Rattus norvegicus: one gene and its partners. The protein of the gene in region 1 purifies or fractionates together with the protein of each later gene. This does not show direct contact. Links are inferred from orthologs where the notes say so. Each region holds a gene or a part of one and is shown on either strand. Other genes may lie near its edges. The genes, in order: Rngtt, Ppp4r3a and Supt5h.

Region 1 (3,657 bases):
ACCCCCACCCCCCATGCCCCTTTCTTTCCTTTTGAGACAGGGTCTCCTGTAGCCTTGCTGCTGTGTAGCTTAAGATGACCAACTTCTGATTCTCTTCCTTATATTTCCTAATGCTTTGATTACAGGGCGTATCACCATGCTCAGAAAAATGATCTTGAATATATTCTGAAAGAGGGTTTAGGAAAAATAAATTTGTTTTCCATGTTTCTTTCTTATAAATATTTATTTTAAAATAGTATAAGCCCCATGTGAAGGTAGACTCAGTTGGTTTCTAAAGCTCTTTCAAAATAGTGTACACCCATTAGTCAATCAGTTATCTGCAGCCGTCTTAGTGTTCTGTTGATGTGAAGAGACACCACGACCATGGCGACTCTATTACAAAGGAAAACACTCAATTGGGGCTGACTTTCAGGTTCAGTGGTTTAGTGATCATTGTCTTGTTGACAAGCATGGCAGCATGCAGGCAGACATGGTGCTGGACAGGTAGCTGAGAGTTCTACATCTGGACCCATAGGCAACAGAGAGGACTCTGGACCTGCTTGATTTTCTGAAACCTGAAAGGCCATGCTAGTGACACACTTTCTCCAACAAGGCCACACCTCTTCATCCTTTTAAATAATGCCTCTCCTGTGAGCATGTGGGGCCAGTTTCGTTCAGACTCCCACACTTAGTTGACTACAGTCAACCGTTGTCAGTCCTCAGTTGATTTTATACACATTTTCCCCCCAGTCTGGTTTAGACTTTCTTTTCCAATGTAGTTTGACTGTATTTCACATTGATCATAAAGAAAGCTTGGGAAACTACACCAATGTTTCTGGAATATCTGGAATATAGTTGTCTTGTATTTTTGTGCCCTTCCTTTCTGAGTTGTGTGTTTGAAACTCAAAATCTTGAAAAATTTTAATGACAAATTTAGACAGTAGAGAGTTTAAACTAATACACCAGTGTATTTTTAGATTTCTGTCTAGTGCTCTGTTACACTCTAAGCAATCTAAATTGACAAACTATTAAGTTATAAGGAATATTTTGAGTTTTTAAAATGTATGAATATGTAGTGTACTTAAATAAACTGAAATATTTTAAAGTAAATTTGTCATTTTAAAACTCTGTGGCATTTGAAGTGATTGAGTTTAACACGAAGCTACTTTCTCTCCTAGGTGTTCACTGCACCCATGGCTTCAACCGCACTGGTTTCCTTATATGTGCCTTTTTGGTGGAAAAAATGGATTGGAGGTATATTAAATAGTGTTGTTATAGTGGAAGAAGATACATGAACAATTTGTGATGCTTATGAATCCTGTAGATGATATATTTCCTTTTCATATTTTTCTCGTATTTTGGAGTTAACAGAGATTGGATCTCAGATGTTTGGATTTGTAATCAGCTTTGGAAAGGTCTGTTTTCCTTTAAAGTTTCTCTTCTCTGGCTGAGAAGAACTAGGGAAAGCTATAATGCTCTATGAAGGAAGCGTTTTAGGATGGCATTAATCTATTTAAACAAGTCTCGTCTTTATTGAGCTTGTTATTTGTGAATTATATTTTCAGATTTTAAAGGATTAGATTCCAATTACTTGAAATTCCTATGAGACTAGGATACTGCTAACGGAATTTTCTTATTCCTGTTCTAGGATCATTGTTTATGTTTCTAAAACCTTTTACACATTAGGTCCTTTTTTGGAATGCAGTCAGGCAAACACTAATCTGAATGTGTTCTGTTCTTTTATACTCAATGGCTGTCTACGTTGTGTACTTTTCAGCTTTGGCCTTTCAGAGTACTGTGCACAGTAGCATCAGACTCCTTTGCCAGATCCGGCCAGTGGCTAGTGTTCTTCCAAGATGTGTAATCTTGGGGCCTAGGGCTATTGGTGGTTTCTGATGAACATTGTGTATGTTCACTTGCCATTCACATTTTCTTGACCCAAGTTTTCTTTTAGAGACCTTGACCTTCAGTATTCTATTAATTTCTTTCATTGGCTAGCCATGTCTGTCATAAGCAGTCATGTCAATGTGCTTTAAATATGATAGTATATAATATATTAGAATGTACCATGTATTATAGTGACCATATATTATAGTGGGCCATGTAGACGATATATGTGTACCATATGTTACAGTGTACTATGGGTATGTGTTTTTAGAATTAGTTTATCATTGACTGAAAGCTTTGCAGGTGAAGACAGACTTATATTTGTCTGTTATATAATCCAGTTATACTTTTTGTGGTACCTTGAGTATGATTTAATAATTGATAAGTCTACATTAAATGGATACTAGTGGGAAAATAATTGTTTCCATAGCATTGAAGCAGCAGTTGCTACTTTTGCCCAAGCCAGACCACCAGGAATCTATAAGGGTGATTATTTGAAGGAACTTTTTCGTCGCTATGGAGATATAGAAGAAGCACCACCACCACCTGTATTGCCAGATTGGTGTTTTGAAGATGATGATGAAGAAGACGAGGATGAGGATGGAAAAAAGGACTCAGAACCAGGGTCCAGTGCTTCCTTTGGGAAAAGGAGAAAAGAGCGCTTAAAACTGGTAATGTTCACAAATACTGTAATACTCTTTTATTCTTTTAAATTACATTTATTTACTTATTTTGTGGGTGTGCATGTTTAAATACCTTGGTGTGGGAATGGCACAGCATGCTTGTGGAAGTCAGAGGACAACTTGTAGGAGTCAGTTCTCTTTTCTTACTATGTGTGTTTGGATCCTGAGGGTCAAAGTCAGGTTGTCAGGCAAACTATAAGTGCCCTTATCTGCTGAGCCACCATGGTGGCTCCCAAATACCATACTGCTCTGTATTTCTGTTTAAACTTATTGTAGGATATTGGCTCTGTATTAGGGTTTCAATTGCTGTGAAGAGACACTATGACCAAGGCAACTCTTATAAAGGACAACATTTACTTGGGGCTGGCCTACAGGTTCAGTGGTTCAGGCCATTATCATCATGGCAGGAAACACAGCAACCAACGTCCAGACAGGCATGGTACTGGAGAAGCAGATTTATACTTCTTCACCCAAAGGAAGCCTGGAGCAGACTGTCTTCCAGATGGCTAGGAGGAAGGTCCCAAAGCCCACCTCCACAGTGACGCACTTCCTTCAACAAAGCCACACCTAGTCCAACAAGGACACACCTCCTAATAGTGCCACTCCCTATGCCAAGCATATTCAAACTGCCACAGGCTATATTTCTGTCATGTCTGTCTGTCTGTCTGTCTGTCTCTCTCTCTCTCTATATATATATAATATATATATATTATATATATATATGTATGTGTGTGTGTGTGTGTGTGTGTGTGTGTGTGTGTGTGTGTTGAAGAACATAATAATGTCTTCTGATTTTATGAAATTTTGATTCTACCTTAAACCCACTAAGTAACAGCATAAGGCAGGTGTGGTGGGATCTCACTGTGAGACCCAGGCTGGTCTCAAATCTCCAGTCATCCTGTCAGGGCCTCTGATGCTGAGATAGGGATAGCCTGTCTCACTATGTCTCACTGTTAAACTTTAGCTAGAAATGGAACTTAAAATTTTGTCTTACAAAATTATTTATTCTTTGGGTGGAGGGGCTTTGCATATCATGGTGGGAGTGAAAGGACAACTTGTGTGACTCGTTCCTTCCAACCTCAAGTTGTCAGGCTTGGCAACACTTAAC
Region 2 (2,448 bases), on another chromosome or scaffold:
TAGGAAAGAGATTCTACTGTTTCTCTATCATTATTTCTTTTGGATTTCCCTTTCAGCCCTGCTTCTCAAAAGACAGTACAACTTGAATGACTATGAAAATTCCTATCACTCTGCCTATGCCTTTACCTCAACAATGTTAGACTCAGCCTTACTTCTGAGGGATCTCCTACCTGTGTCAGATGAAATCAGACTGTGGGGCAAGCAAGATAGCACAGTACTTTCTATCAAGCCTAATGACCTAAGCTTGATCTTAGAGACACACACGACAGAAGGAGAACTGACCTCCTCCACACGTGCTTTGATGTGTTCACACATATAAACAGAAACAACTGCTCCCCCTCCCAAATTTTCACCTGGGTTCTAACTGGGAAAGGTAAAGAAGAACCTGTAGTTTATGAATTAAAAAAATACCAAAGGCAGACTATTGATTTGCACTGGACACATAAGTTTAGGGAGTGGTTGTGATGAGGTCTCACCTTCCAGTTCACAACATTTAGCTAATTCCAGAAAAGAAAACCAAAGAGAGAATCCAGGCATAAAGACTGCTGAGCAAGCGTAAAGCATGGTAGGAAAGGCAGCATGTGCGGACTCCCAAGTATGTGTGTACCTTTGTGGTAATAGCTGCCGGCTGAGATGTACTCTTAGGGACGGATCCAGGAGAGCCAGGAGAGCCTGGGGACCCAGGTGATCCTGGAGAACCAGGCAGGCTTGTGGCGGATGACTGGCTGGTGAGGTTAGTCTTTGTCCCACTGGACAAGGAAAGTTTGAAACTCGGGCTCTGTCGTCCAGAAAGATTAGTTTTCAGAAGCACCTCCTTTTCTTCACTCTCTTTCACTAAAAACGAGAATGTAGAATACCTGTCACTCACTTCTTTTCCTTAATTCCTCCAAATGAAGTGACACCAAGACACTGGTACCAGCTTCTTTCTTTGCTGAGGACAACCCTGCATGAAGCCCAACCTATGAACAAAGCCTATCCAAGTAACAACACATTATCTAGCAAGTATCACAATGCAGAAGTATGATCTTCAGTATTACACTTAGTATCCATAACCTCCACACCATCTTCCTTACATTAGGAAACTCAGCCGACACCTCGACACAGTCAGCAATTCAGCCGCACCCTGTGAGCCTTTGACTTATCATATATTCACAGTAGCCACTAATCATTTTCTCAAGAAATGAAGGACCAGGGCTGAGAGCCTCAGTTTCCCTTGCCCTTTGTTTCAACATACATTTCTTCCTTTCCATAAATTTACTTATTGGATCCATAATATCGTCATCATTCTTGGTTTTGTCAGATGGAGACACCACAGCTTCTCCGTCTTCCATGTCATCTTCATCTGTGTTGAACCACATCTCTTCTTCATCTTCTAGTGTCCTGGCATCTCGTCGGTATCGATGATTCCTCAAGATGGACCGCATGCTATGAGAAAATGGAAGACTGTAAGGGCTGAGGTACTGCTTAAACAATATCCTGGGCCTGATCACTGGCACCACTATAAGCAAATGCCAAACCACACTCAAACAAATACATAATTAAAAGACGGACCCTATCAAATGTAATATAAACTACTAGAATCAAACTCCCTATTTCCAAAATGGTAACTGTTCTAGATCAATGTACGGATTCCCCCCCCCCCCCCCCCCGAGCTGGGGACCGAACCCAGGGCCTTGTGCCAAATCCCCAACCTCAGAATGTACAGATTTTTGAACCATACTACAGAGGCTAGAGATGGCACAGTAGTTAGGACCTGGATTCAACTCCTAGCACCCAACAGCAGTTCACAATTATTTGTATCTCTAGTTCCAGGGAATCCAGCACACTCTTCTGTTCTCTGTGGTTGTCAGGCATGCCCCTGGTGCACAGACATAAGACATACTTGCAGATCTCTCTCCTCTCTCTTCCCTCCCTCCCCATCTCCCTTGGGAAAACCAACCCAAACTGCAAATATGAATCTAGTTATTTAAGAAGGTATGTGGTATTTTAAATAATCTATACGTAAGATAATATTAAATATGGAGCCTTACTACTATTATCAGTTTATGTTGGTGTCTGAAGATCTTACTATAATTTATCTATACTTTCAGAAACAAAACCAGCATGGGCATCAGCAAGACGGTGTAAAGAGTAAAGGCGCAGGGTTGGGGATTTGGCTCACGGTGTAAAGAGTAAAGGCGCGGGGTTGGGGATTTGGCTCAGTGGTAGAGCGTTTACCTAGGAAGCGCAAGGTCCTGGGTTCGGTCCCCAGCCCCAGAAAAAAAAAAAAAAATAAGAGTAAAGGCTCGTCCTGCCAAGTATGACAAACCTGAGCTTGAGCCCAGAACCACACGGCAGAAGGAGACAACCCGTTCCTGCTCTCAGTCCTGAGGCTACAGCACCAACACAGTGTACTTGTATGTGAACACAGACACAAAAAATAAAAAATGTTGAAGAAAAAAAAAAAAA
Region 3 (3,657 bases), on another chromosome or scaffold:
AGGGTACTCACTTATATAAAATAAATAAAATCTTTAAAAAAGAAAAGAAAACTGCAAGTCCAAGGCCAGCCTAAGCAAACTAGCCAGACCTTGTCTCAGAATAAAAAGTAAAAGAGGGCTAGAGGATGGCTCAATGGAATAACATGTGCCTAGGTGTGGGGGATGTGGCTCCACAAGTCATTAGTCGGCACAGTCAATCCCCACACTTCCTTTCTTTTTTCTCAACATGCCTCCTCCAACTCCCGAATGTGGAGATTAAAGGTGTGGGCCACCATTGCCAGGTAATCCCCACATCTTCATGTGAATGTACATGTGTACACATGTATGCACGCGCGCGCGCACACATACACACCCCTGAACCACAGACTGTCTTATGCACTCTTTAAGCTTCCTGGCTCTGTGACATACCAGCCTCATCTAAAATGAAGCCCCCATGGCGTGGTTTCTTGGGAGGCCGGTCATCATCCTCCTCCTCCTCCTCCTCATCGTATTCCTCCTCTTCCTCCTCCTCCTCTTCCTCGGGCTCCTCTTCTTTTTCACTGCCTGCGGCACTTCGCCGGTCTTCCTCTACCTACAGGATCAGAGTTGAGGCACCAGGATTTTACTATCCCCAAACCCAGAAAAAAACCTCATCTATCTCTGTCTCTGTGTCTCACACGCATGTCCACAATGCCCTCAAAGTCCCGACCTGACCAGGCCTCTGATCTGTCCTAATTCAAGTGACAGTAGAACCAAGACCCAGCCACTCAACCAACCCCTGGGAGCCAATCCTTTCACTGGATCCCTTACTCTGAGAGCCATTGCATACCAGGTATTTATGGCTTGTTGCTCTTCTCTGTGCTTCCTGAAAAGTCCAGCTCCTAACTCTGGGATCTGTTCCAGGTGTCTGATACTCAACAATGGATGTCCCTGGTGCTAACCCCTTACATTTCCTTTTTTTTTTTTTTTCCGGAGCTGGGGACCGAACCCAGGGCCTTGCACTTGCAAGCACTCTACCACTGAGCTAAATCCCCAACCCCCCCCCCCTTACATTTCCTAACACTAAGGGTCAACATAGCTGCTACTTCCCCTAGGCTCCAATCACTCCACTTGGGGGGGGGGGGGGGATCGAGAGCGAGAACGCGAGAGTGAGCACAAGAGCATGTGGTGGAGGTGTCATTCAGTAATGCAGACCCCCTTGGAACTCACTATGTAGCCTAGGTTGGCCCATGAATGTGTGTATGGCATCCTCCTGTCTGTTTCCCAAGCACTAGAGTATAGGTGTAAACCACATTCACAGTTTCCATTCATCCCTTAAAAGCAGCTTCAGACAGACCTTCCATGTCTCTCCCTAGGGCCATGTTGCTCCATCCTCCCACGCCTCTCTCATTGAGCCATTACCATCCAAGACCTCAACTCCCGTCTCTGCTGCTGATGCTTCTATTCTCCACTATTTTCCAGAAACAGAGCCTACCCCACATGCCACAGCCTCTGGGTCTGCCAGGCCTATACTCCCCTGGATTCTAATCCTTGTTTCTTACTAGTTACAAACAGATCCACAAATTCTGATGCTCAAGGATCAGCCTTTAACTCACCAGCTCAAGGCTCCTTCCTTCTTCACAGTGCTATAACCTATTCACCCAGTATCTCTCTATGTTGTTTTTATTCTAATTCTGCTTATTATATGTATTTGCACATGTGCATGTGCTCAGCCTATGTAAGTAAGTGCCAGCTGTGTGCAGGGGCCCTCAGCAGGTATGGGGTCCACTGGAGCCAGAGTTACAGACAGCTGTAAGCCACATGACCTGGACACTGAGAACCAGAGCCAGGTCTCTGGATGAGCAAGTGCTGTTAACTATAATGAAAGCTTGGCTTCTTTAAAAACCCAGTTACAATACATGAATGTTTTTTATTTAATCTCAGGTGTGAGATACAGGGCACTTCAGTTTGCCCATAGCTATTAACTATGATTGTCTCACTCTCCAAGATGGGCATCATTTTGCCAGCTGCACACACTTTAATTCTGGGGTCTCTGGAGAGAGAATAAATCCCAGAGCCCCAAGAGGCTGCTGCTCCTGGTGGCTGTTGTTGCAGTTTGACAAGAAGTTGGAGATATTCAGATGAAAGATTAAAGTGGCCCCAAGAAACACTGTCCCCAATCAGCAGGAAGTCCTGTAAAGAGGTCCACGCCCCCTTTCCCTGCTAACCTTTCCTTCCTACCTAGTGTTGGGGGCTGGGAGTGGAGTAAGGGTGGGAAGAGAGGAAGAAGTGCAAGAACTAATAAAGCAGAACTAGAACTTCAAAACTGCTCTTGACCTTGGTCAAGGGAGCGCCTTTTTGTTTTTGATCTACTCCATTTTATGTGAATAACTGTTTTACCTACACGTCATCTGTGCACCTCATGCATACCTGGTGACCAGAAAAAGCCATCAGATAAATCCCCAGGAATTAAGAGTTAAGGATAGTTTTGAACTGGTGCAGCGAACTGAACCAGGCCCTCATTTGAAGAGCACCAAATGCTCTTAACCACTGAGCCATCTCTCTAGCCCAAGGAAGATTTTTTTTTGTTTTGTTTTGTTTTGTTTTGCAGTGGACAGTGCTTAATGCAGACTCATAACTGGTCTAAGTGGCAAGAATAAGTGTACAGGGCTCGTGGTAGAAAGAATGTAAAAGCCAGAGGACAGGGGTGTTAGTATGCCGTCTTTTGTTTTTTTGGGCTTTTTTTTTTTTTTTTTTTTTTTTGTGCACTGTGTAGACTGTCCTTGTATTCAAATGCTGATTTCTGTGCAGATGGAGGTCTGGTTACAGGCTGGACTTGGGTACTGCCCTTACGATGACGCATATCCGGTTCTAGTATTTTTTTTTTTTTTTTTGGTTCTTTTTTTTTTCGGAGCTGGGGACCGAACCCAGGGCCTTGCGCTTCCTAGGCAAGCGCTCTACCACTGAGCTAAATCCCCAACCCCCTCAGTCACCTTCTGATTGGCAAATAAGAGCTGAATTGTCTATAGCTGGGCTGGACACAGGGTCCCAGGTGGGAATCTGAGACCAGAGCACCACTAGCCGGCAGGACAAGGATAAAGAAGCAGGTGCCAGCCCCAGACTAAGATGGACAGGTACTGGGCCACATGGAGGGATATAGGCCAGGCCAGTTCTGTCAGGTTAGAATACCTGAGAATCTGCCCGGCTATAGTGCCCAAATAAGTCTCAACTCAGAGCAAGAGCAGGCATAAACCCTTACAGCTACATAGGAGGGCTGTGAAACATTGTCTTCAAGATCCAATGAGCCTACTGAACTCATAGACTCATAGCAGCTTGCTCAACGGGGAGGGGCTCGTGACACCAGCTGAGGAGCTACTAGCAACTAATGCAGGCTGGGAGAGCAGGGGTAATTCTTTCTCAGCGGTGAGGCCACTAGGAGGGTGTCTATGCTCATGAAGGCAGCACTACTGGATTCAGTGGATTTAAAAGATCACAGGCTGGAGATAAGAGCACTGGCATAAGAGCAGATTAAAAGCACTGGCTGGGGGCTGGAGAGATGGCTCAGTGGTTAAGAGCACTGACTGCTCTTCCAGAGGTCATGAGTTCAATTCCCAGCAACCACATGGTGGCTCACAACCATCTGTAATGAGATCTGGTGCCCTCTTCTGGCCTGCAGTCACATATGCAGGCAGAATGCTG

What was found.
Region 2: the proteins of Rngtt (region 1) and Ppp4r3a purify together in Homo sapiens (affinity purification with mass spectrometry; 3 studies listed by BioGRID and IntAct, with this or other methods). This does not show direct contact. The link is inferred for Rattus norvegicus from reciprocal best matches to the Homo sapiens genes RNGTT and PPP4R3A.
Region 3: the proteins of Rngtt (region 1) and Supt5h purify together in Homo sapiens (affinity purification with mass spectrometry; 3 studies listed by BioGRID and IntAct, with this or other methods). This does not show direct contact. The link is inferred for Rattus norvegicus from reciprocal best matches to the Homo sapiens genes RNGTT and SUPT5H.

What each region holds. Positions count from the first base shown.
Region 1 is NC_086023.1:52,523,689-52,527,345, forward strand, and holds part of Rngtt (mRNA-capping enzyme), read left to right. Parts: intron 1-1,157; coding exon 1,158-1,233; intron 1,234-2,296; coding exon 2,297-2,537; intron 2,538-3,657.
Region 2 is NC_086024.1:126,033,765-126,036,212, forward strand, and holds part of Ppp4r3a (serine/threonine-protein phosphatase 4 regulatory subunit 3A), read right to left. Parts: intron 1,426-2,448; coding exon 1,235-1,425; intron 835-1,234; coding exon 608-834; intron 1-607. UniProt on the Homo sapiens protein: Regulatory subunit of serine/threonine-protein phosphatase 4. May regulate the activity of PPP4C at centrosomal microtubule organizing centers.
Region 3 is NC_086019.1:92,734,434-92,738,090, forward strand, and holds part of Supt5h (transcription elongation factor SPT5), read right to left. Parts: intron 572-3,657; coding exon 409-571; intron 1-408. UniProt on the Homo sapiens protein: Component of the DRB sensitivity-inducing factor complex (DSIF complex), which regulates mRNA processing and transcription elongation by RNA polymerase II.